Tribolium castaneum: one gene and its partners. The main gene of each other region encodes a partner of the protein of the gene in region 2 in a complex. Links are inferred from orthologs where the notes say so. Each region holds a gene or a part of one and is shown on either strand. Other genes may lie near its edges.

Region 1 (2,584 bases), on a different chromosome or scaffold from region 2:
CAAAAAATAAAGATATTTTCACACCACACGCCACTGCGTTTTAACGCGATTACATCGAAAAGTTCGTTACGAACTTTGAAAAAATCGCCAAATTAGCCAAAAATATTGTTTTTACTTTTTTCAAGCCTTCAACAAGTTTTGGAGCTAAAAAGTTGAAAATATGCAATCAAGTTTGGTGCAACGGCAACTTAATAAAATATAATTAACATTTGAATTTAATAGTACTTACATGTTACCTTTGAGTGTTACGAAACTTATTTAACATCATGGGCTTCTTTGATCAAATATTTAATTGTTTTCAGGGCTTACAAAGACATAGCTGACTGTTATTACATCAAAACTGCGAAAGTGTGTGGAAACAGCGCTGCAGCAACAACTAAAGAACTTCTACAGTCGATAATTGACAGTATTCTCACAATAAGCTGTGACAATGTGAAGGAGACGCCCAAAGTCAAGGACCCAATGCCTGAGGAATATATGAAAAAAGAAAATAAGGCAACTTGTTCCTTCACATTTATTTCATTTACAATTATTTTTTACAGGCTGACACAATGATTCTTCCAACTGTACTTCACTTACTAGTTAGCATAATATTGATTTTTATTTAAACTTCAACAAATCTAAATTATTGTAATAAAGGTATTGAAAGACATTTTGCTACTTTTTTTTAGACGATCCAAAACCTGCAAATCCCATAATGCTAGCAAGCTCACTTGCTTGTTCAGATGTTTCTTCCAACATTTCCTCAGCTTTTCGCTTCTCTTTCCTTTTCTCCCTCCTGTATTCGCGTAGCTTTTCCTCTTCTTCGGCAATTTCCTGCATGCGAGCTGCCATATCGTAATCTTTTTTCTTCTCCTCCATTTTCCGCTTGTTTTGGTCAAACCTTCGTTTAACTGCGTCCAGACTGCTGCGTTCGATCCGCATCGACATTCCCAAGTTTCGTTGATGCTTTTTGCCATTGATGTGATCCAAAAAGTTGATTGAATCTTTAACAACACAGTCGCAGACGTTGCAGTAGTAGCCCCCCGATTGTGATGTTGGTGTGTTTTTGTTTATTACAATGCTTTTGCCAAGCTTTGAATCCAGGTCTACTTTATACTCTCGGGTTTTTAGCATTTCACGTTTCACCGGGGGGCCTTTCTTTTTCTTGGTTTCTTCTTCGAGGCGCTCGATTTCTTCCCTCTTGCGCTCCTCGGCTAACCTCTCGTATTCGTCCCTGTCCCATTTTCGGCGGTGGTCGTCTGGTCGCATAGTCATTTCTGATGATTTTTCTTTAGCAGGATCACAATCAATTAATAAAAACTCAAGTACAATAACAGTGTTGACAAACTGCAGTACACATTGACAGCTGTCAAATTTTCAAGGTTAGGTTATGTTGCTAACTTCATAAGAATAAAGGTTCATTTTCTAATAAATTGCGAATTTGCGCCATTCAGGATGTTTATATATATCATTAGATTATTACAATTGAATTCATTAAACTCATAGAATACTTAATAGATTTTTTAATTTTTTGGTTATTCGACTCTGCTATTACATCTAACGAAGTTAGCTGGGTTACCTGTTTAAAAATTTAAGATGGGAAAAGATCAAAAAAATCCCGTAATCAAGACAATTAGTTATTTATTTCAATTTTTTTATTAATTTTTAAAATCTAATTCACAGAATCTTTCGTTTGCAATTTTTCAGTCTGTGGCTGTTCAAACTACCACTACGTTATGAGTTAGTTATAAGTTATAAATACCAAAGAAAAAGTGGATAACTCAAAAAATTTAAATTTTTAACAAATTATTATTTTGGGTAGGCAACACAATATTCAAATGGCAGCCTACGCAACTAATTATACAGAGTGTTCCAAGTTTTATGGTCGAAGCAAAAATTAATATTCTAGTCGAGTACAAATAAATTAAATTAATTTAAATTACAAAAAATCAAATTGAATTTAATTCAAAATTAAACTAATTCAAATTAAGTAGCATTAAATACATTGACAAATGTCGAGTTAACCGCGATTAAAATTTAATTGCAATTAAAATGTTTTGTAAACCGGCGCTCTTAGTCTAGACAATTAATTACGCTACCATTTGATATTTTGAATGTGGTCAAGTATTAATTGCTGTGAAACATTATAAACCAATTTTTTAAAATAAAGTTCAAGGTGTATTTTCTATTATATGATAAAATTCTTTCAATATTTAAAACCGTAACTGCTAACATAGAATTATACGATTGTTGCCAACTTTTGAGTAATATTATTATTATTACATTATCAGAAAATTCTGATGTGGGCTCTATTCCACAAACGACTTTTACACTTTGCGCTTGCACGTTCCCGAACACCTTTATGTTCCACCAACAACAGTATTTTGCACACTTAGCAAAAAATATACTTAGCAAAAATACTTCTTTTTACAAAAATATGCCAAAACAAATGCAAAGATTGGTGGAAGACATTAACTTTAAAATTTGCAATTTATGCAAAATGCAAAGTTGCAAAAAATTTTAGTGGAACAAGGTGATATTTAGTGATTAAGGTGATATTAAAAAAAATATCAATTTTAAAAAGCCGATTATGGCGAAACTA
Region 2 (3,997 bases):
TCCAAAATCGGGACGACCACGAAAAACCACTATAAACATGGACAGACGCATTAAAAGAATTTCGGAAAACGATCCATGGAAATCTGCATCTAAAATTATAGCGGAAATACCGGAAGTAGGAGTTAGTACACGAACAATTCAAAGAAGACTGGTTGCAGCAAAGCTTTTTAGTAGACGTCCTGCTAAAAAACCTTTGATTTCCGAAAGAAATAGACGCGCCAGACTTCAATTTGCAAGAGAACATTTGAATTGGACAAAGCAAGATTGGAGGAAAGTTCTGTTTAGTGACGAAACTCGATACAAATTATTTAATTCGGATGGAATGAAACGTGTGAGACGGCCAATCAATACACGATTCAACCCCAAGTATGTTACACCCACTGTTAAACATGGTCATGGTAGCGTTTTTCTGTGGGGGTGTTTTTCGTGGAATTGTGTGGGTCCGTTGAGCTTTATTGGGGGTAATATGGATCGGTTCATCCATAAGGACATACTCCAAGATGTAATGCTGCCGTATGCAGAATGGGAAATGCCTCTTCGTTTTATCTTTCAGCAAGATAACGACCCCAAACACACTTCTGCATTGGTCAGTGAGTGGTTCCAAAATAATAATATTCATGTTTTGCAATGGCCTGCCCAATCACCAAACCTCAACCCAATTGAGAACTTATGGGAAGAGGTAGAGCGACGAATCCGGATACAAAAATTTCCCAACAAGCAATCTTTGATAGATAAAATCAAAGAAGTGTGGTCAAATCTGGATGAAAATGTTATTCAAAAATTAATTTCTTCAATGCCCAGACGGTGCCAAAAAATTATACTTAATAACGGCTATGTCATAAATTATTGAATTTTTCGTTCTATTTATTTAAACTTTAGTGTTGGGTAGTGTTATGTAAATGTTGAATCAAATAAAATTTGAGTTGAAAATATTTTCTGACAATGTTGCCTTACTTTTGTCGCATTAATATCGGGCTTTTTTATATTTCAAGCTAGTAGCATGTCATAATAATTACCCATTGGCTATCCATGTTCAACACGAATAAGAATATCTTTAAACGTTTATTATAAAATTAAATTGAAGGTAAATACCAACTCTTAAAATTTAAAATACCAATATTTGTATATTTTTCAACATGTTGCCTTACTTTTGTCCGATAGTGTATTTTAAACAAATACTTTTTTCGACAAAATAATTAAAAGTCAAAATAAATGAATGGTAATTCGGATTATGTATACTATTTTACTTAATTTGGGAGTTCGGTTAATAGAATCGTACGGATTATCCGAGCCGTCTAAATGCAGAACTGATTGCCAAAAATTTTAAAAATAGCTTTCCCGCACTGTCACATTTAAAATTTAAACAGCAATTTCTATTTGTTTTTACAAAATTCATTCTTTAATACAGTAAAACTATACAAAAGTTTCGAATTTGACACAAAACTCACTGGGGCTTGATAATGTATTCTTTAATTGTGGTAATCTATTTCGTTTTGTTTTTAATTAAGTAGGTATATCCCATTTCAGGTCGTAGAATTTTGCAAAAACGTATTTGCATTTTTTGGAGTAAAATGTAACGCAAATTGAGTTTCTGGTGGGTTTTCTTAGCACAAACTTTTTTTCTTTTACAGAAACTTACAATTTTGCACAAATCGCACTCCAAAAATGTCACTCAGATGCAGATGTAATTATAACTTTCTAAAATAGTTTTCCGCAAAACTAACTAATAAAGACCGCACGTTTTTTGTGCATTCATTAATTTTTACAGAACAAAAATACTTTAATAAAAAATTTGTACCTATTCAAAATGTAAGCGAGTTTTTGTTTCTCGACGGCGCCTATCATTACAGCACGTCCTCGAGGGTCAGTGGCTAGGTACTGGCCTGGAACAATACGTCTGACCCCCGATTTGCCGAACGTCTCCTGGTGGACCTTCTCGAAGTTGTTTTTAGACGGGATATACTCAAGAATAACGATTCTGCCGGAGTCGGAGCCCACGATGACGAAGTCTTTGGTGCCTCCGGTGAGTCGAAACGACATCAACGAGCGGACGACTCCGAATATTTCGACGGTTAGAAGCGTGTGGACTTTACCGGTGTTGGGGTCAGGCCGTAGCACTTCCAAGCTTTTGCCACGTGAAATGACAATTTCTTGCATTTTGGTGCCGGAAAAATTGCCATGGATGGCGTGGGTGATGGCTGTGGCCCTTTGTAAGGTCAGGTTGTAGAGATACATTTTGGGGGCTTATCTAGGAAGAAAAGTGAGGTTAGAACGTATCATTTTTTAGTTGAAAATGTGGGGCACTAAAACCAGGCTTTAGCTTGGTAATTCGCTTGAGCCAACGATGCGATGTGCCCCATAATATAGCACCCTTTACGACCTGTACGTATACAATACATAGGTACAGGAGATACCAAGTGCATCCGATTACAAATTTTTAAAGCAACTCGTTAATTTGGGCAAAAATACGTACTTGTGATTAATTATAAAACAAAATCAAAGCTAAATTTTGTTACCTTGAACGTGGATGAGCTTCGTTTCGTTCAATATTTCAAAGTTTTTCAACCATTTATTTTCGATTTTCGCATGGTTCACATTGTTGTGACGTGGTGACTTGGTTATTTATTTGAGCGTTTTTGTCGATGGTTAAGTTAATTAAAAAACAATAATAAAGCACCTTTTGCAATGTTTTGATACATTATTTAGCAAAAAAGTACAAAAACTAACTGCAAATGGCGACAGACCGGCAAAATAACGCACAAACACCGGTGAAGTGAGAAAGGAAACGGAAAGAAGAAATGTAGTGCTACTGCGCGTGCGTGTTGGCTATATTTTTTACTACGCAAGCGCAAAATTTCTAAACCAATCAGAAAATTGAGAGGAAATTTCAATTTAAATAAATTTTTCAGAAAATTATCTTTGGCCAAAATTATACTTTAACAATTTATGCGTTTGATATTGCCAGTATGTATCTTTTGTTTTTACCGTACTGTAGGTACTGTATTTAGAACTTGATTGTGTTTATCTCAATTTGAGGCAAATAAGAATCCAAATTCTAGTAAAAAGCTTATTGTTTTGTACCATATTTTCCGGACAATTTTCAGAGTTTTAGTTCAATGCAATTTACAGTAATAGTCTTATGCGTTTGTTTGATGAAATTTTAAGTTATTGTAAAGATATCATATCTTCCTTATTATAAAAGATACATATTTAAAACAAAAACATTATACAGGCACTTTTTTACAGAGAATTTAATAATGTTAGCAGCGATTTTTTTTACTCATTCGCTTAGCTGTAATGACATAAAGTTTTATTTTTTTAAATGAGAATTATAGTTGGCTATGACATTTTCGAAAAGCTTTTTTTTTCTGAACTCAAAACAATATAAATATAGTTTGATGTTTTTATACAGGGTGCTCAAAAACTGGCGCACCAACTCAGTGGTACGTTATTGAGAAGCAAGTGCAGATTACGGGAAAAATGTTGAAAAAATTCCTAAAGTTATATTTTAAAAAATCTGGAGCTACAAACTTATTGTGTTAATTTCTTTAGTTTTTATTATTTTTTTATATTTTTATTTTTCATACCAGGTAATCGTTCCGTAACAAAACGATTAACAATTATTTTAAAATTTACTATCAAATTTTAGCAGTTTTTTTAATATAAAAAAATTAAAATTTATCCAAAAAAATCACAATGTGTAGATGTGCCAACACTGGGAATTATTTCCTAGGAAACCGTTTCAAATATAATTTATTTTTATTGTTGCTCAAATTCTATTGCGATCATGACTATTAGACAACGTTGCCACATATCAATTACTTAAAATTAGTTATTTATCAATAATTTTAATACAAAGAATTTTTTTACTATTTTTACCATTATATGTAACCACTTCTCTATCACACACCATTGAGTTGGTGCGCCAGTTTTTGAGCACGCTGTATATTTATGATAAAAATATATTAAAACATTTGAAAGTAGTTGGCTATGAAAA
Region 3 (3,731 bases), on a different chromosome or scaffold from region 2:
AGTTTTGCGTTTTCTTTTGTTAAATTATCCAATTTTGATTGGAGGTCGGTGGTTGTTGTCTTCATTGACTGGATTTCGTCAATTAGGTCGCTTTCGCGATTTTTTGCGGCGAGAATATCCAGTTTAAAGTCGTCAATTTGTTGCTGCTTGGTTTGTAATTCCTGTTCAAGGTTCGGTACATTCACCAATTTTTGCGTCAGTCTTTCAATTTCTTCCTGTTTCAGTTCTAAATCCTTCATCATTGCTAATTTCCTTGTGTCAACAACTGAAAAGTTGGGGCCGTTGGTCAAATTTTCCAATTCCTTAAGCTTCAGTTTCAAATTCAAGATTTCTTCTTCATGGAGCTTTTTAAGATTGATGTAAACTTCAACGTCACTAACCAACTTTGCATTTTCTTCTTTATACTTATCTATGCACATTTTGGCATCGTTGAACTTATCTTTGTAGGACTTCATCACATTGGTGACCTCATCCCTGTAGGCCAAAAACCTCGTATACTGCGCCTTCATACTCATGTTATTTTGTGCGATGATATTCTTCAACTTTTCGTTTTCCTTAATCAGTTCTTCCACTTGTTTTTGAATCTCTTCATACGACGAATCCGGCGATATTGCAATACTTGCAACTGAGGGCACAATCGCATCAACAGCTGCTGGTAATTCTGGCAACGGATCAACGGTAATTTGTGATATTTTCATCCTGATTAGATTTTCCATTTCGTGAACCTTATTTGTCCTTATTGGGGGCAAGATTTCGTCCCTTGGAGGGCTGCAAGACAAACTTTCGCTGATGGAATTTGAAGTTTCCAAAACGACAAATGAATCTTCATCATCGGACCCGATTGACGGAACCATGGACTCTGCAGTGTTTTTCACAGCAACGAAGGACTCGTCACGACTCATTTTTGATGACTTTCAAGTTTTAACAACAGCTGCAGTACAACACTACATTTGCGGCGCAAAATAGAATGAATTAGAACATAGAATATGAAAATACCAAACTACTGACACACGATTAAAGACACTGCTACCAACCGGACCAATAAAAAGTCGCCTTAGCCTTAATTTAATTTTTTAAGAATATTAAAGCTCTAAAAATGTTATTGTGGCATAACTATTTACGTAAAATTTCATTTGGGACACAACTGTAGTCGTAAAAAAATTGTAAAGTCAAAGAAAAACCGCTTAGTGATTTTCTAGTGTGACAATAATGGTGCACCTCTCTCTTATTCTACGCTGACATTTTGTCATTTTTTGACAGTCGACATTTGATGGCGTCGGGTAAATAAATAATTTTCGCAATTTTCTAAAAAAAGTCGCAATGGAGACGATTTTGGAGCAACAACGGCGTTATCACGAGGAAAAAGAGCGTCTCATTGACGCAATGGTTAAAGAAATTTTACATAAAAAAACAACGGTAAGTTGTGATTCTCGTGGCGCTTTGCCCCCTGACAGAGTCTTTGTTTTAGTACCGCGAGGCAATAAACTCGGACTATCGCCTTAAATTTCTGCTAGACAAATATATGACCTCCACTGATCGTTTGATTGAGCTGTATGAGGACAAGGACGGGCAAAGAAAAGCGGAAGTCGCTGCCCTTACAGGTCCAAATGAGTTTCAGGAGTTTTACAATCGTCTCAAGCAGATTAAAGATTTTTACAGGAAGCATCCTAATGAGGTATAGTTTTTGAATATTTTGTGTGTTTGTGTAATGATTTTTTTCTCAGATAAGTATTCCAATGTCTGTTGAGTTCGATGAACTAGCCAAAGCGCGTGAAAATCCCACTGAAGAAATGGCAAGTGAGTCTTGCTAGGCTCGTGTGATCACAGTTGTTTAATTACGTTTGTTTTTTCAAGATTTGGTTGAATTTACGGATGAGGAAGGTTATGGGAAATATTTGGATTTGCACGAATGTTACGAGAAATATATCAATTTGAAAGGCATTGAAAAGGTTGATTATATCACATATTTGGGCACTTTTGACCAGCTCTATGACATTCCTAAAGAACGCAAAACTGGAGAATATCGCAAATATTTGCTTTGCTTGATTGAGTATTTAACTTGGTTCGTGCAAAGAGTCAAACCTTTGATGGACATTGATGCTGATTTGCAAAACGAAGTTGATAATGTTATGGTCCAGTGGGAGAATGGGACTGTTCCAGGATGGCCCGTAATTTGGTAAAAAACTAATTTATTTTTACTACTTCATTTACTTTCAGAAAGAGACAGGGTCGGCCTTGGCGAACGTTGGGGCCCATTTAGACTTGTCCGCATTTTCAAGTTGGGAGGAATTGGCTTCTTTAGGTTTGGACAGATTGAAGTCGGCCCTAATGGCTCTTGGTTTAAAATGTGGCGGGTAATTATTTACGTCTTGCCATAAATAAAATTCTAATTATTTATTTAGGACGTTGGAAGAGCGTGCCCAGCGTTTATTTTCAACCAAGGGCAAAGGCTCACTAGATCCGTCTCTAATGACTAAAAACAAATCTGGCAAAGCCAGTAAGGAAAAGGAGCAAATGAGACAAAGAGAACTGGCCTGTCTTGAGGCACAAGTTTATAGGTTGGCCGAGCTGGTCGCCCCTCAACGCGCGGCAACTAAGGAAAATGTCCAGAGAAAACAAGCGCGGACGGATGGTGAAAGAGACGATAGTGAAAATGAGGAGAGTGAGGAGGAAAGTCCCGATGAAGCCGACGATGACGTTCCCTACAACCCCAAAAACTTACCTTTGGGCTGGGATGGAAAAGTATGTGATTTTGAAAGTAAGTTGGTAAAATTGATTGTTTCGTAATTGCAGCCGATTCCATACTGGTTGTACAAACTCCACGGTTTGAATATCAGTTACAACTGCGAAATTTGCGGCAATTACGTCTATAAAGGACCAAAGGCGTTTCAAAGACACTTTGCGGAGTGGAGACACGCTCATGGAATGCGCTGTCTGGGAATCCCCAATACCGCGCATTTTGCCAACGTGACGCAAATTGAGGATGCCCTAGCACGTAAGAAGTTGCAATTTTGGTTTCTTACCTTGTTACGGTTGTTTTCCAGTGTGGGAGAAGCTCAAAGTGCAAAAACAGGCAGAGCGTTGGCAACCTGAAACAGAGGAAGAGTACGAGGATTCGCAAGGGAACGTCGTTAACAGAAAGACTTACGAGGATCTTAAAAGACAAGGTTTATTGTAATTTGTGCTGTATTAACAATAAGTATCAATAAAAAACATAAACAAAACTTTAAATATTGACATTTTATTTTGATGGTCGCCTTGGGAAGGGGAATTTTCGACTGTTCGTTAGCACGAACGTACAAAACTGAGCCCGAAATAGGGATAGAGAGAGTGAAAATTATTCCTGTTACTTAAGAAATTATTCAGTAGTTTCTGCGTAAATAAATAATAATTTAAGTACTCATTTAGCGTGTTTTTAGAGTTCGGTTGAATGCACAGTCGGCTGCAATTTTTCTCACTTACCGAACGATGCGCATTTGTTTGTGCCTGTGATTTGACCAGATTTGACTTTGACACATAAGTGGGTAAATTCATCCAAATAGGTTTGTGATTTTATTCAACCTTTAATCACTAATTCTTTAATCATCAGAGTCTAATTTCTATAATGTGCGAGCTAAAATGGACGTATTAAATGCGGTATACAACTTAAACAATGAAGAAACCCTCAAGTCCAGTTGGTTCGGTGAGGTCTTCTCGAGTTTTTCGACTCAAGAGACGTACCAGGTAAGAAA
Region 4 (4,053 bases), on a different chromosome or scaffold from region 2:
GACAGTAAATTACAGACGTCGTCGCTTGGTTGTCGAAAATGTTATCGGTGTTAATCACAAGTATTTTCTGTTCGTTTATTGTGTTTTGTGATTTGCGTTTCGTTAGGTTTTTGATTCTGCGTTTATTAGTTCTTGTTTTGTGAATCTGTATTTTTTGTAACAACTCATAATTTAAACACTTCGTAACCTCAAAAAATATTTGATAGTTTGTCACCGCTATGCCCCTGCTATGTAAACGTAGTGACAGAAATGTCAGATGACGCACACGCAAATGGAGCTGAGCGCTACCATATGTCTATAATTATTAAGGCCATGAAGGATGTTACAAAGCAATATTTCATTTCAATATACAATTCCGTTATTTGTCACCGGATTGTTATCAAATTAGAATGCACATATTTTAGGAGGTTGTCTTTCAATTAGGGGCAAAAAATGACCTCAAGTTAAGAAATGAAATTTTAAAACATTTCTTTTGTTTAAAATAAAGCCAAATTACCGTTGGATCATTAAACTCCGAAAAATAAATGACCACACAAAAAATTAACCAAATCGATCGGCTGATCCAAGAAAGAAATTAATTTTGTTGTTAAAAACTTAATCCAAATTTTGATTGTAATTTGGGCAGTCATTTTTTGAAACAATTGGTGAAGCATTTCTATGCGGCATTTTGTGTACCACTGAAAAAAACTGTCAAAAGTTTGCGAGCTATCAGAAAAGTAAAATTGTTTTAATTTGGTGAAATTACTTTAAAAACCAACCAATGGCTGAGATTTCTGTGTTGTTGAAAAAGGAATCAATATTCGCCTATGGAAAGTGTCGTTGGACTTTTTGTGAAATGTTATTTATGAAATTTCAAGTTCAAAGAATCGTCAATAATTTGAAGACACAGGAAGCGTACCTGAACTAAATCGAGTGAGTACAAAACACGTCACTGGAAACGAAGCAATAGTTGGGGCTGTAATTCAAGCTTTTGAAGAGAATCCAATCAGCAGTGTACGAAACATTTCCAAAGTCCTGAATGTTCAAGTGTCTAGAATTTTTCAGTTGTTGTTCAGTCTTTTCGTCCTTTTTGAAAGAATTAAAGCATCCAGTACCAAAAGTAAGTCAAAAATATTGTTTTTTAACTTTGTATGGGTGAGAGATGGTAGTGCTCATTTGTCTCATAGAGATCTACGCTTTTGCATCTGTACCCACGTTTAACAGTTTGTTTCTCATTTTTCTCGCGAAACAGATGTCTTCCACGAACGAGTTTTTTCTGACAGCATTTTTCACTGACGATAAATTTTTTAATATGTCTTAAAAGGCTTAACATTTTAAAAAGGCATGTAAAAATTCGTTTTTAAGACTTGAGTTTTTGCATTAATTGGATTTTAATCTTTATCTTCTAAAATATCTGCATTTTAAATTTCATGAAAATCCGTTGACAAATATCTGAGATATCAGGCTCGAAAGTTTTAGCTGAGACAACGCTTTTATCGATGTTAACTTAGTGTATCTTCGATAAAAAAGTAAATAATGCACAATTGCAATTTTATTATTATACCTTCACTTTAACATGCATTCTTTATTATCATTTATAAAACTATAAATTTTATGTTAACTGGTTTTAAGCAACATTATTTCCCAAATTTTATTTCTTTCTCACTTACGCAAATGTAAAGGAGCGACAGAATACACTGACTTCCGACGTTAAGAATTTTTGTATAGTGGCTTAAATTTTGGTATGCCAATGTCAGTTACAGAATTAGATACAGAGTGGAATTTTTAACAAGTATAAAATCCATTACTTTGATAAGTACATACGATTTTTGTGAAAATTCCGGAAACAAGTCAATTGCAGGCACCTTTAACTTTTTTTTCAAATGTAATGTAAATTTTATAATACCAATTTTTGCATTAACACGTTTGTCACTTAAAACAATGTCCCAAGTTTTCGTTAAAAATCGGTCATAGATGTATCAAACCAAGCCAAAAATTATAGTTAGTTTTGGCCTTTAACAGTGTTTTTGTACTAACAACACAACTTTTTTGAACAATATCACCAAACAAACAATAAAATTAGTCGAAAATGGTATTTTTACACTAAATTATGTTTTTATTTAAAATTTTGTTACAACAGACTGAAATAAGCATCCCTGACCTACCTTAGGTGTTTGAAGTATAACACCAAACGCCGAAAATGTATCATAAAGCAGCTTCTCATCCACTTCGGGGTCCAAATTCCCGATAAAAATATTCGCCCCCACGTCCAAGTTCTTCTGATGGGCTGATGCTTTATTCACTCTTATTGGCTTTCCATAAAGCTTTATCATGTTCATTATTTTTATGGCATAATCAGCATCTTCTTCACCCATGAACTCCACAAAACCATAGCCTTGGTGCATCATTGTTACGCGGTCTTTGGGCATGTGAACGTTGACTAAAATGGACAAAAATTGGTTTGTAAATTATTACAAAAATTATGCTTACCCAAGGGGCCAGATTGGACGAACAGTTCCCATAATAACGATTCTGTAACTTTATCATCTAAACCACCAACGTAAATTGTTGCATCTGCAAAAACACAAAAAACACCGGCACTTATTGGAATTTGTGAGGTTAAGTAATCGAAAACTTACCTCTGTTGCGTTCAGCAATCGGTCCATTAGCCATGATTATGAAATGGATATATCTCAATGTATTAATAGCAAAATTTTACTTCATCGCTTGATAAAAGAATGCTTATTTAATTAAATAAATAAACGAACCAAATACGCAAACCTTAGACGCAAACTTTTCTTTGCTTGTAAGAATCTTTAAAGCCGGCCGCGTTTCACTACTGTCTCGCCTTATTGGTGGAAAGATGGCGCAATAGTGGCAAAACTAGCGCTGTATTTAAAATGCAATTCCAAAAAAAGAAACCATACTATTACCAATTTTTTTGATGATTTAATGTCTTTAAAATGTTATTTTTGACCCTAACTATAAACTAAACAAGTTTCTAAAATTCAATAAGTAAGATAAATTATTTTTGAATCTGTTTCCGAGGAAATAATTCCCAGTGTTGGCAGATCTACAAATTGTGATTCTTCTGATGAAATCACATTCAAAAAACTGCTGTTTGATAGTAAATTTAAAAATAATTATTCGTTTTATTAGGAAACGATTATTTAGTGTAAAACATAAAAATCATTAAAAATAATGAAAACTGAAGAAGTTAACAAAATAAGTTTGTAGCTCCAGATTTTTTTAAATACGACTTAAGGAATTTTTTCAATTTTTTTTCCGGAATGTACACATGCTTCTTAACAAAGTACCACCAAGTTGGTGCGCAAATTTTTGAGCACTCTGTATAAACAATTCTTGAAAAGAATCAAAATGAATAAACAATAAATTAAGCAAAATTAAAATGGCATACTTATCGATGTTTAAACTGGAAGGTACAAATCCAAAAAAAAAACCCTGAATATTTCGTAAACGATTAAATATAGGGAAAGCTTATATAAACTATCTTAAAATAACTCCAGTAATGCAAAAACGCATTAAAAAATATATTTGGTTCACTTTCATAAAAACCATTGTGGTGGAAATTTGGTACTCTTGGCATTAACTTTTATATGAGTTGTCATGGTAACAGGTTAGTCAATTCCACCACAATGGTTTTTATGAAAGTGAACCGAAAATAGTCGATTTTTTTTATAATCAACTGTCTAAGAGCTGTCAGGTTGCCATTATCATAAATAGCAATTTTTTTGAATTAAGGTTGGTGTAATTTTTTACCTGGAAAATTCATTTGCCAAATTTTTCAAGTTCTCTCTAATTTAAAACACGTACAACAACACATTTAGTTATTTTAGACCACCTTTACACTAACGAATTAACGACTAACACTAACGTCCAATTTTCAAAAAATTTCAAATCTGGTGTTCAAAATGTCAAATACAGAATACAGCCAGTTTCAAAAGTGGTTGGACATGAACTTTTAGGGTGATACAGTCTGGTCTTTATTAGAATTTTGACACTGACAGTTGATTGTTTAAAAAAATGAACTATAGCTTTGGATTTAATATAAGG
Region 5 (3,017 bases), on a different chromosome or scaffold from region 2:
AAATTCGTTTAGTTTTATTTTATCACGGGTGGAAGCGGCTTTTCTGCGAGCGAAAATATTGCAGTCATGCCATTATTCCCCCCGATTTTTCTTGTTAGGAAGTTCGGCCTAAATCTTGTTATATTTAGATAGTGCCAACTGTCTTGTACAGCATTTTGGTCATTAGGTGATTCATGTAACCACATCTAAACATCATTCTCATGTGGAACAATAACATGCGTGTGACATTTTATGTTCAGTGTATTTCTTGTGCTTCTTTTGGTTTTGTTGCTTATGTCCGACTGATTAGAAACAAAATTCTAGCATAGTTGAGTGTAAAACTTTGTGATCCAATGGACTGAAATCTTAGGATGTGTTGGATTCGTCATGTATACAAAAATTTGCAAATATTTTAACGAATTTAATATTTTTAAGGGATAAATTGTAAATAGTTAAAATTTTATTTGATAAGTATTTATTATTTTGTTATTAATATACGATATATACGAAAACTGCAATTCTGGAAACTTGTACCTAAACAAAAATGAGAAAAACGAGTGTGTTAGGAGCATTATTTTATATTGTATTACAAACGTATATTATAAATAAAAAACTTAAATCATTGGAAATAAATATTCACGCCCACTTTTTAAGTTAGTTGGAATGTTTATCGGGCTTAAACAATCTAAAAAAATATAAAAACAAAAAATTCTTCGAAAAATAACTTATGTATATAGTCCACACGTTTGCTGCCTGTGTTTCACTGTTATTGTTATTGTATTCACTCATTCTGTTATTGTCTGTTTTCCACAATACAAACATTGCAAGACTTTCTACAGCAGTTGATTTTCAATTTTACTCCACTTCGAGGTGGTGAACGTGTTAAGTAATAAGTAAATAGACACTAAATTTATAATATACTTCTCAACAAACATAAAATAGACAAATAAAGCTAATGCCTAACTGTCTCAATGTCATCAATAAAGTTTTTAAAACGATCGCAAGTGTTTGAATCACCCAATCCCCCAAAAAGCAATTTTACATCTTTAACAATACCATCGATACGCTCATTTGGATGCGTTAATAATTTTCTACTTGCATAAATACTATTTATTAAATTATGAGCGTTTGTTCATGTTTAAATTAGAATGGTGTCTGGTGGTAATAACCAAAGTTACCAAAGGTTGGCACTTTTTGTGGGATTCCCACCCGCGAGTCACGCCTGGGGACTAGACGATATTAGCAAATAAGTTTTTATGAGAAATTCGGGAAACGTGAAACTTGTTTATTATTGAAGAACTAAATTGTTTCATACGTGTACTATTGTTTAATTTTGTAATGTATAACCTTAGCCTGTATTTCCTAATTGGATTATTCACACAGTATTATTTGTCTGTAATTTTTTTCACAATGCAAAGCAAAAAGTCTGATAAGAGCGAACCATTTTTAACCTCACTTTGTGTTTACTACAAGCGTCAACAATTTCTTAGAATTTATTGATAAACTGTGCATTTCTGTCGAATTCAGTTGTGCATAAGGTGCGTTAGTGAGTTTACAAATTAAATTAGGCCAATTATGGCAAATAGGACCGTAAAAGATGCCAAATCAATCCATGGCACAAATCCCCAGTATCTGGTTGAAAAGATCATCAGATCGCGAATTTATGACTCTAAATACTGGAAGGAGGAATGTTTTGCCCTCACTGCAGAGCTTTTAGTAGACAAGGCAATGGAATTACGATTTGTGGGTGGTGTTTATGGTGGCAATATAAAGCCAACACCATTTTTATGTTTGACACTAAAAATGCTACAAATTCAACCAGAGAAAGACATTGTAGTTGAATTCATCAAAAACGAGGAGTTTAAATACGTCAGAGCCCTCGGTGCTTTCTACATGAGACTCACAGGGTCGTCCTTAGACTGTTACAAATATCTTGAGCCTTTGTACAACGACAACAGGAAGTTGCGGCGACAAAATCGCCAAGCGCAGTTTGAAATTGTACACATGGACGAGTTTATTGACGAATTGTTACGAGAGGAACGAGTACGTGTTTTTTTTGTTACGGTAGATAGTAAAATTAATTTTTAAGGTTTGTGATGTTATTTTGCCACGCATTCAAAAACGCATTGTTTTGGAAGAAAGCAACGAACTCGAAGCCAAGATCTCGGCCCTTGAAGACGACTTGGACGAAGAGATTGAACTTGAGGAAGAAAACAAGTACGAGTTGGTTGAAGAAAAGCCCAAAGAGAAGAAAGAAAGGGAGAGGAAGCGGGAACGCAGCAGATCCAGAGAAAGGCATCGCAGTCGGAGTAAGGAACGCCACAAGAAGGAGAAGGACAAGGAGAGGGACCGCGACCGGGAGAAGGAGCGCGATAGGGAGAGAAGAGACAGGGAGAAGGAGCGCAAGGACCGGGAGAAAGACCGCGAAAAAGAGCGAGATCGTAAGGATAAAGACAGGAAACGGGAGCGAGACAGACACCACTGATTTTTCAATACATCGTTTTATACAATCAATAATTAAATACATCAACAAGTTTAGGATTGTGAATATCACAGATTAAGCCTATACCTTAGATTTCCACAAAATTTACATATTTATAATATATACAAATCAAATGGCTCAAAAAGTGGGCGCATTGAGATGAAACAACTTCTCCTCCCTTTTCTTAATCCAGTTCAGCAGCCGCCCCACTGAGTTAATCGCACTGTTTGTGTCAATCAAGGGCTCGAAAACTACATAAAGCTCAAAACCTCTCGTATCCCACGCCAAAATCGCCTCGTCTGAGTTTTTCTCAAATAACAACTTTAGCGGCCTCGTCGAGCAATGCAACAAGTTATGCGCCCGTTTGTACAACTTTGTTAGTCTCTCGTTATATTTGGTGTACGGTGGGGTCAAGCTTGGTTGGTAGAACTGTGCTGTACTTTTGCATTTGTACAAATAGTGCCTAAGTTCGGGGAAACCCGCAACAATGCAAGTTTCTTCTTTCGCACTCAGCGACTCATTGATTGCTTCTAAGCAGTTGCTGCGTCGCAGTTTT
Region 6 (4,176 bases), on a different chromosome or scaffold from region 2:
CGGCATCCAAAGCAAAAGCGCGAAAAAACATCATTTCTTAACCAAATAATCAATTACAAAAAGTAAATGTTTGGTCGCTAAATTGTTTGCTCTGTAGTTTCAGCTTGCAATTTTCAGCAGCAATTCTTAGAAATCAGGGAAAGTAGCACCCAATAATAAAACCAGTTTTTGTCGCCTTTTTAATCGCCTTGTGATTGGCCTGTTTTGTAGTTGGGAGCGCATTAGTCCATCAATAACCAATGGCAAACACCTTAATCGTGTTGCAGTTTTTTGTGCCGTAGATAAATTAGTCGGGGACAAATCAGACGATAAACAGGTCCCGCCCATAAAACTAGAATTTCGTCTTCGATGTGTATGAATAATTGTAATGGCCGGCCGACAATGTGATTTAATTTGTGTTTAGAAAAAAAATTCAAAACACAAAATCACAGTTTATCGAAATTTGATCTTACAAAAGGAATGATTATGTAATGTTGACAAATATTAAGACAGAAATAGATGAAAGCTGTTTATTTCAAAAATATTTCCAGCTTCTCTTTGACTAAAAGTCTGGGATTGATAATAGATAAAAATCTATTCTTAAAGAATGTTATTTTCGTAATAATTATTATTAATTATTAATTAATTATTATTGCTTGATTGCCACTTTTTATTTAGTTATTAGTTATTCAGTTTCTTTTCATTTTATATTTTTTAATAATTAATATTAAATTTTAAGATGTTAAGTGGAATATCTGTGACAAAACTTCGCCTCTTCGTCCATTTATTGTCTTTTTTATATTGTTCTTTCTTATAATCCTTCTATAATTTTTTATATGTATTTTTACCAATACTTATTATTTAATATAAAGCATTAATTAAAGGTCAACAAACGGTGTTTCAAATAATTATTAAATAAATTAGTTTTTCCAATTAATTTACCAATTTTCGTCGACTGTTTGAAATATTTTTCCGACAAATTATTATAAATTAATGAATATGTATTTTTATAGTCAACCGAACAATAAATATTCCAAAATATTGCCATAATTGGTTCCGATTATGTTGTATTAAATTTTCTTTCTTTTTCTATTTTGTTTCTTTGTTTTTGTCGATAGACAATTTTTATTTAGTTATTAATTATTCAGTTTCATTTTATTTTATAATTTTTAATAATTAATATTAAATATTAAGTGGAACACCTGTGTCACAACTTCGCCTCTTCATCCGTCTTTTGTGTTCTTTTTTTGTATTGTTCTTTTTTTTATTAAGATATTTTTGTTCCCCCCTATTATTTTTTATATGTATTTTTACCAATGCCTACTATTTAATAAAGAACATTAAAAGTCAACAAACATTGCCTCAGAAAATCATTATTTATCGTCGACTGTTTGAAAAACAATTTTCTTCCACGAATTATTAAAAATTAATTAATAATAATCGACGATTATACTGTACTACACTGGGTGTTAAATAATAAAACAACTTTTGCTTTATTTAGGCAGTAGTAGAAAAAACCTTGCATTCAACTCAAAAACCCTACCTTTGACTCGAATCCCCTCCAACTCCTCCTTGTAGGCCTCCACCTCTTCGTGCGTCATCTTGGCAATTTCGGGCACTTCTACGTAGAAATTCTTCCGAAACGGTAAATATCTAACCATGTTATGATCAATTTTCGCCAATTCCTTCTTCTGCTTATTAACAATACTCGCAGCTGTGTCTTTCAAGTCCTCAATTTCCTCTTCAGAGGAGTACTCCAGACCGTCCTGATTCTGCTCAATCAACTCACCTTTGTTTTTATTAACCTTGGATTTGGCCACCCCTGTTACAATAACTAAGGCACCTTTTTTATTCCCGGACTCGGTTTTGGGCTTTTTCATGTCAAGTTTGTGAGTCTTTCTCACTTCTTCTTGAACTCCTTTCATATACTCGTCTAGAGGATCGACTTCCTCTTCTTCTTCTTCTTCTTCTTTTTTCTCTTCTTTCGCTTCTTGTTTTTCTTCCTGTGGCGGTGCTTCCCCGTTTGTTTCTTCCTCGACTTGATCCTCCTTCGTTTCGCCTTTGTCTTTATCCTCGTCTTCGGAGTCGTTTTCTAGGGACCATTTTTTGGCAGTGGCTTCGTCAGTTGTTGTGGTTGCATTTGGTGCATCTTTCTTCATTTCTTCCTCTTTCTTCTTGCGTTCGGCGCGCCAACGCTCAATGCGTTCGCGGCGTTTTTGCATCTCAAGTTCCAACTTTTTTTGCTCTTCTTCCTTGTCAAGGTTCGCCGGATCAAAAGCCAGACCTGAATCATCCTTCTTCCGGTCTGTGGATCTGGAGCGAGACCTGGACTTGTCCCGACGTCTGGATTTGCCAGAACTGCGCTTCTCCTTACTGTCACCTCTTAGAAATTCCAACTTTAATCCAGGAAAAAGTGAAAATTAAACAAACCTTCGACGGTCTCGGTCTCGACTGTACGAACGCCTGTCACGCTCTCTCCTGTCTCTGGACCTGCTGCGCCTCTCTCGGGACCTACTTCGACGGTGGCGGCTAGACCTGGACCTGTCTTTGCTCCTGGAGCGCGAACGGCGCCGCTTCCGGTCGGGAGAACGGCTCCTGTCGCGTCTTCAAAAGGGGCAAAAGTTTGGTTAGACAATTTGGCCAAAAAAAATTATTATAGCTTCACTTACCCGCCCCGAACCATCGTAAGTCTTTAGTTTTTCTTAAAATTGGACCTAAATCAACTAAAAGTAAGATTTTGTGCCCCAAACATAACCTAATCTTTATTTACACGGTTACAGTTTTCTGTAATCTGACAAAGAAAGTGATCGAAAATCCCCAGATTTGGTGTTTTTTGTGTTTATGCTTGGGGATTTTTCGAGATAGTAGAAATACCAACTGCGACTTTTAGGCAAAAAAATTATTTTAAAATATTGCTATGGGTAACGTGTTTTAAAACTAGGATTTAGATATTAAAAAAAGGCTTAAAATGTTATCAAAAAAAAAGATATGGAAGTTTTTACTTTTTTTCCGTCCCAATTTTCTTTTTTTAGTACAAACTCAACACACAACAAAATAAAACGCAATTAAATTCAATAAAAATAATTTATTTAAACAAAAAAGGGCCTAATCGGCATGCTCATGCTGGGCGTGTGCCTCCGACTCCCTCCAGTTGCTCTGAATGGTCTCAACAATCCACCCCCAGCACTTGGACTTCGTGAAATAATAAGCCCCACACAGAGCAATAAAAACCCAGGAAATGATCAAAAAAATATCAAATTCGCGCGCAGGGACACTGGTGACAGGCCCCTTGAAATCAGCCGAGGTCACAATTGACTTTTCGGCAGCCGCAATCCCCGTATGTTTGGCCAAAAATTTGGAAAAAAGCTCAAGTGTATACTCCGACTCATTAAATTTAGCAACGGGTCTCCCGTTATGAAACAACATTAACGTGGGAACCCCCACAATCCCGTTCTGCGTATTAAACAACCGATAAGCCAGCGCGTTGATAGCCACCATTTTAATATCGGGGAAAGCCCTTGGCAGAGCGTTAAAATGGGGGGCTGCCATGCTGGAAAACGGGCAATATTTCGAGTAGAACAGCACTAGGATGCACCCGGCGGGGGTGTCCCGGCTCGTGATGTTGCTCTGGGTGAAGAGGAGTTTAATGAGCTCGGTGTCGTTGACTAGTTGGACTTCGGGGGCCCCAAAATCGGGCAAACATTGCACGAGTTTGAGGGTTTTGTTGCTGGATGATTCAGTGGTGTTTGTGAGAGTTGCGTTGTGGGTGGAGTTGGTGAAGGAGGTGAGGTTGCTGGAGATGTCTTCCACAACTTCGGGCTCCTGACATAACGTCAAGTGTGAGGTTATGACTAAAAAAAGTGTTACGTAATGGGGTTACATCATCAGGGGGCACTTACTTATCGCGAGGAATGTGAAAAAATGTGCAGAAAAAGCCATTTCGTGTCTTATTTTATCATTTCGAATTATTGATTTGGTTGGGTTAAAACAAGCGATACAGAAATACAGAACGGGCGAATTATGATGGCCGACGTTTCAAATTTCGGCGCAAATTATCTTGAAATCGTAATTATTTTGTAATTACGTGAAATTAATACCAATAACTAAATTAAAATTTAATTTTTTATTAAACTTGCGTTTGTATAGACTTATTAATAAGTTAATTAATAAGTTTTGTATTTCACATCAAGGAGGCTA
Region 7 (4,052 bases), on a different chromosome or scaffold from region 2:
TGGTTTCACTCAACTGCTTTTTCTAGCGCCCTTTTTCTTTATCACTCCTTCAAAAAGGAGTTAAACATTATCAAATATCTGTGGTTTTCCTCACGATACAATTAAAAAACATTGTTCAAATAGTCAAACATAAGTTCACTTTTAATTTAACCCATACAACTCCAATTAATAGTTATTTATATACCAAGGGAAATATAAGGGTGTTAATGACCACGGGCAATAAATTTGCTATCCAAAGGGCCGTTAGCCTCGAGGGACCGTACGTTAACCAAGATTAACACCTAATGTTTCCGGTAAAAGATAAATAATTAATTTATTTCTTACGAAAATAAATTTCCACTAAAAAATAAATTTTTCTCATTTTTAAAAGTACTGACAATTGTTTTTTTTATAAAAAATATCTCTTTACAAAAATTATTTCAAAAAGTAAAATCTCGGATGAAATGAAACAACAAACAAAAAAGTCTCTTTGGGTTCCGGCAAAGTGTTACTCTCTTTATGGTTACCCAAACTAATAAGTAATACGATAATAACATTTCACAATATTTTTGGTCAATTTTTTTCAATTTACAAAAAGATACAAACAATTTAACATAACCATAGTCAAATCTGATCACAATCTTTCTGCTTCTCTGATACATAATAAAGATCCTCAACATGAATGTCCTGGGAGTGTATTCTACAATTTCCAGCGGTGCATCTTAATGCACAAATATCAATTTTTGTAATCTTGAAATGTGTGTGCATCAAATTTCCCTCAAAAATCATACGAGTTCATGTCGGGCAACTTTATAAGTTGCATTAAAATTAATGGTTGATACTAGGTAATTATGTTAAATTAACTAAATTAATTACTTATGTTTAATTAAGAAAATTAAGAAATATTTGTTTCTTGAACAACTTGAAAGACAGCAGTCAAGAAAACATTTTTTTGGAGCCAAATCCATCTTCACAATTAAGCGATTAAATTTTCAAAAAAAAACATTTTCTTTTAACGAAAAATTTAGCTGAATATGTAATAAGTATTTCGGAACCTTTTATGCAACAGCAAACTCGTTCTACTGCAATGAATATACGCATTAAGGTAAATTGGCATTTACTGAACTGACAGGTGTATTCAACAATGTTTAGGTTTTAATTCAGCAATATTTTATGGGTGTATCACAAAGCTCAGTATCGAGCAATAGCCGAAGAAACATTGGCTTTGAATCAATCCCAAATTTTTAACGAATGGGATAAATTTCCTAGAAATTTGGAGTAGTTAGATGTTATTCGTAATGAGTGAGTTTTAATTTTAATAGCCTTAAGGCTAGTTCAAACGTATTCGTCTTATGGCGTTTTCAATGTAAAAGAATTCTGGCTATAATTAGGTCATTCGAAAAGATATCAACATCGTTTCAAAACTCAATGTATTTTAGAAATGATATTTACAAAATGGCCATTAGAAAATTTTAAAAAATCTAGTGCTTAATAAATTATGGCTATTTAAATAAACAAGATTTCGGACTAATACACGTATAAAGACACTAAGACTTCAAAATGAAAAACTCACCGGCCAATCGATAGAGATTTTTATTTTAAACCGCTTGGTATTTTTTTTTCTGTTACTAAAAATAAGCTTATTATCGCGAAAATTTTAATTCATTGGAAGCACAAAATTTCTTGGGCTATGATTCATAGCAGTTGACTAGACAAATCCGCAGAAAAATTTACAAGTGACTAATTTTTTTTTTTTTGAAAAGGTTTAATAGCAAATTTTGTTTTTCTGGAATTATTAGATGCATCGACTGCACAATGTAGCCATAGTTCCACCAAAATAATAATAATAATAATAACAACTAATGAACCCAATCCAGAAAATATTTAGGTATGTTAGAAGGAAAATTATCATTCTACTAATGTTCAACGTAATACTTTTCATTATGAAATTGTCAATATAAAATTTAGTTTTATGTTTTCTCTTTTGCCATTCAAAATTTTCTAAAAAAGGGCATAAACTTAGGCGTATTGTACGTGTTAAAATTGTGGTAAGTCTTGCTTACATACTTCCAGTATCTGAGTATTTTTGGCACTATTTTCTCTAGGCCTTTAAGCTGAAACTATTTTGCCTTTTTATCTATTAAAATTATGTTATTAATTATTATTGTGGGTTTTGATATTTAATTACCTATAATACGATTCTTCAACGTCTTCCTCCTCCAAATCGTTCCTAACCCCAGTCGGTTGCGACGAACTGCCCGGTTTCTCCGACTTCATCTGTTTTTCAATCCCTGCCATGTAGGCATCTAAAGGATCATCATCATCGTTTGGCACCTCTTGTTTCTTGGTTTCGACACGCGTGGGGCTGCCGGGGGCAGGTATGTACGCGAGATCTGGCACAGTTTCTTCCTCATCGTCCTCAAAATACTCATCCTCGGTGGCAGCCCGTTTGCGGCTACCGCCCCAAGCAGCAGATAAGGCATTCTGACTTATCGCATTCATAGTGGAATAGCCCTGCTTGCTTACGCCACTCATGGGGGGCGGCGGCACGGCATTATGCCGCTTTTGGTTCATTTGGAAACCAGAGTAGTTGAAGCCACTCATGATTGAGGTTATGGAACTCCCACACACACAAAAACACTAGTTCGGCCCCTGAATGGCAACCATACTGTTTTGTGAAAATGTTGTTTGATTTTTTATGCACTTATAAAGTTAGAAGCGACGCACAATTTGCAAAAACAACAATTTTTTTCACCAGAAGCACAAATGTCAAACAAGTTGACAATCAAAGCTGCCATCATTGTCAATACGGAAGTGAAAGTCACTAAAATACGCATCACATAAATATACAAGGTGTCACAAAAAGAAAAAGAAACAGGGACAAAAAAAAGAACCAGATTTGCTAGGAAAAAATGGATAATAGTAAGAAGGCCCCTATTGAACACAGCTACTTTTTTAAGGAAAACACCCCGATTTTCAAGAAAGGCAGAAAAAATCGTGAAAACATTCGTTTTCAATAGTCCAGTCAAATTAGACAAATCGGTGGAGTTTTTTTTTTAAAAACTTCCTTTTCACTTGGGTAGATATATTTTATCAAAAGTTTCCGAGGTTGGGGGGCGAGCTCGAGGAGGGGGAGGGAGTTAAAGCAGTCTTTTATTGTTTTTTTGCTTATATCTCGGAAACTGTTACTCCTATCAATTTTTATCTTCTTGCCAAAATTAAAGCTGATAGCATTTCCTACAAAAAAGTTATTTGCATTTTTCTTGTGCGACTAACTATAAGCGAGTTATAGGTCTGGAAAGAAATAATCATTTAAAAAAAATGCTTTAAAAGAAAATGTCTTGTGATTTGAAAAACTGACAATAAACTGAATTTATTGGGTCCAACACTTCATTAGAGTCGAAAGGGGGAGACATGGGGGTCACAGAAGTCTTCAGAGTCGTCTTTAGATGCTGCATTTTCGTCTTCGTCTCCAACATTGAAAACTGAATTACAGTCTTATTCAGTAAATATTAATAAATAGATGATTTAATGTAGATGTTATGAATAAATCTGATAATACACTGTATGAATTGAGTCCAACAGTTCATCTGGATCATCTTCAGATGCTGAATTGTGGACTTCAACTGAAGAGCCCGAGGGAAAAAAGTTTTTTCTCCCTTATTTCCTACTCTTAGCTTAGTTGGGAGACGCTTTACACACACTATTTCCATGTAAAGACTTATTATATACTAATGTTTAGTTATAGTGTCATGTGAACACCAAACTTCAAAAGCTAGTAGCTCGCTTACGATTAATCCTACAACAATAAGGCTAGGACCATTTTGTAGGAAATTTTATTAACTTTCATTTTGGTAAGAAGATAAAAATTGCTAGACTGACCGTTTCCGAGATATAGGCAAAAAAACAAAAAAAGACAACTTTAGCCTCCTCCCCCTCCACGAGCTCGCCCCCCAACCTCGGGGACTTTTAATATATGTCTACCCAATTTTTAAAAAAATCCATCTAGGAATTTTTTCCACCGGTCACAGATTAGAGGTTAGGTCCCTGACAGTCAGCTGATCACTGACAGC

The links.
Region 1: Sf3b3 (region 2) and zinc finger matrin-type protein 2 share a complex: the UniProt entries of both Homo sapiens proteins name them as parts of the spliceosome B complex. The link is inferred for Tribolium castaneum from reciprocal best matches to the Homo sapiens genes SF3B3 and ZMAT2.
Region 3: Sf3b3 (region 2) and noi share a complex: the UniProt entries of both Homo sapiens proteins name them as parts of the 17S U2 SnRNP complex. The link is inferred for Tribolium castaneum from reciprocal best matches to the Homo sapiens genes SF3B3 and SF3A3.
Region 4: Sf3b3 (region 2) and splicing factor 3B subunit 4 share a complex: the UniProt entries of both Homo sapiens proteins name them as parts of the SF3B subcomplex of the 17S U2 SnRNP complex. The link is inferred for Tribolium castaneum from reciprocal best matches to the Homo sapiens genes SF3B3 and SF3B4.
Region 5: Sf3b3 (region 2) and Prp38 share a complex: the UniProt entries of both Homo sapiens proteins name them as parts of the spliceosome B complex. The link is inferred for Tribolium castaneum from reciprocal best matches to the Homo sapiens genes SF3B3 and PRPF38A.
Region 6: Sf3b3 (region 2) and Prp5 share a complex: the UniProt entries of both Homo sapiens proteins name them as parts of the 17S U2 SnRNP complex. The link is inferred for Tribolium castaneum from reciprocal best matches to the Homo sapiens genes SF3B3 and DDX46.
Region 7: the proteins of Sf3b3 (region 2) and ATP-dependent RNA helicase DDX42 are in contact, whole or in part, in a cryo-EM structure (PDB 7EVN), measured with the Homo sapiens proteins. The link is inferred for Tribolium castaneum from reciprocal best matches to the Homo sapiens genes SF3B3 and DDX42. Residues at the interface, in NP_036558.3 of Homo sapiens: Glu159, Ala160, His161, Tyr211, His219, Val220, Val221, Arg222, Lys223; in NP_031398.2 of Homo sapiens: Lys145, Gly146, Ile147, Arg148, Asp149, Asp150.

Annotation. Positions count from the first base shown.
Region 1 is NC_087395.1:20,717,154-20,719,737, reverse strand, and holds zinc finger matrin-type protein 2, read right to left. Parts: upstream 1,375-2,584; 5' UTR 1,258-1,374; coding exon 658-1,257; 3' UTR 609-657; coding exon of another isoform or gene 543-608; 3' UTR 501-542; downstream 1-500. Other genes in the region: uncharacterized protein LOC656218, read left to right, coding at 303-495, 543-608. UniProt on the Homo sapiens protein: Involved in pre-mRNA splicing as a component of the spliceosome.
Region 2 is NC_087394.1:10,470,372-10,474,368, forward strand, and holds the start of Sf3b3 (splicing factor 3B subunit 3), read right to left. Parts: upstream 2,801-3,997; 5' UTR 2,517-2,800; intron 2,249-2,516; 5' UTR 2,236-2,248; coding exon 1,799-2,235; intron 1-1,798. UniProt on the Homo sapiens protein: Component of the 17S U2 SnRNP complex of the spliceosome, a large ribonucleoprotein complex that removes introns from transcribed pre-mRNAs.
Region 3 is NC_087397.1:5,206,220-5,209,950, reverse strand, and holds noi (splicing factor 3A subunit 3), read left to right. Parts: upstream 1-1,177; 5' UTR 1,178-1,320; coding exon 1,321-1,416; intron 1,417-1,468; coding exon 1,469-1,675; intron 1,676-1,724; coding exon 1,725-1,797; intron 1,798-1,854; coding exon 1,855-2,168; intron 2,169-2,217; coding exon 2,218-2,354; intron 2,355-2,402; coding exon 2,403-2,742; intron 2,743-2,793; coding exon 2,794-2,995; intron 2,996-3,044; coding exon 3,045-3,178; 3' UTR 3,179-3,231; downstream 3,232-3,731. Other genes in the region: NF-kappa-B essential modulator, read right to left, coding at 1-902; neuropathy target esterase sws, read left to right, coding at 3,619-3,723. UniProt on the Homo sapiens protein: Component of the 17S U2 SnRNP complex of the spliceosome, a large ribonucleoprotein complex that removes introns from transcribed pre-mRNAs.
Region 4 is NC_087395.1:2,316,564-2,320,616, reverse strand, and holds the start of splicing factor 3B subunit 4, read right to left. Parts: upstream 2,801-4,053; 5' UTR 2,653-2,800; coding exon 2,619-2,652; intron 2,554-2,618; coding exon 2,470-2,553; intron 2,420-2,469; coding exon 2,145-2,419; intron 1-2,144. UniProt on the Homo sapiens protein: Component of the 17S U2 SnRNP complex of the spliceosome, a large ribonucleoprotein complex that removes introns from transcribed pre-mRNAs.
Region 5 is NC_087396.1:19,988,207-19,991,223, reverse strand, and holds Prp38 (pre-mRNA-splicing factor 38), read left to right. Parts: upstream 1-1,388; 5' UTR 1,389-1,554; coding exon 1,555-2,022; intron 2,023-2,068; coding exon 2,069-2,464; 3' UTR 2,465-2,517; downstream 2,518-3,017. Other genes in the region: vacuolar fusion protein MON1 homolog, read right to left, coding at 2,600-3,017. UniProt on the Homo sapiens protein: Involved in pre-mRNA splicing as a component of the spliceosome.
Region 6 is NC_087399.1:718,979-723,154, reverse strand, and holds the start of Prp5 (probable ATP-dependent RNA helicase DDX46), read right to left. Parts: upstream 2,801-4,176; 5' UTR 2,663-2,800; coding exon 2,649-2,662; intron 2,584-2,648; coding exon 2,410-2,583; intron 2,362-2,409; coding exon 1,523-2,361; intron 1-1,522. Other genes in the region: bug (thioredoxin domain-containing protein 15), read right to left, coding at 3,085-3,830, 3,879-3,918. UniProt on the Homo sapiens protein: Component of the 17S U2 SnRNP complex of the spliceosome, a large ribonucleoprotein complex that removes introns from transcribed pre-mRNAs.
Region 7 is NC_087399.1:9,771,953-9,776,004, forward strand, and holds the start of ATP-dependent RNA helicase DDX42, read right to left. Parts: upstream 2,801-4,052; 5' UTR 2,584-2,800; coding exon 2,168-2,583; intron 1-2,167. UniProt on the Homo sapiens protein: ATP-dependent RNA helicase that binds to partially double-stranded RNAs (dsRNAs) in order to unwind RNA secondary structures. Unwinding is promoted in the presence of single-strand binding proteins.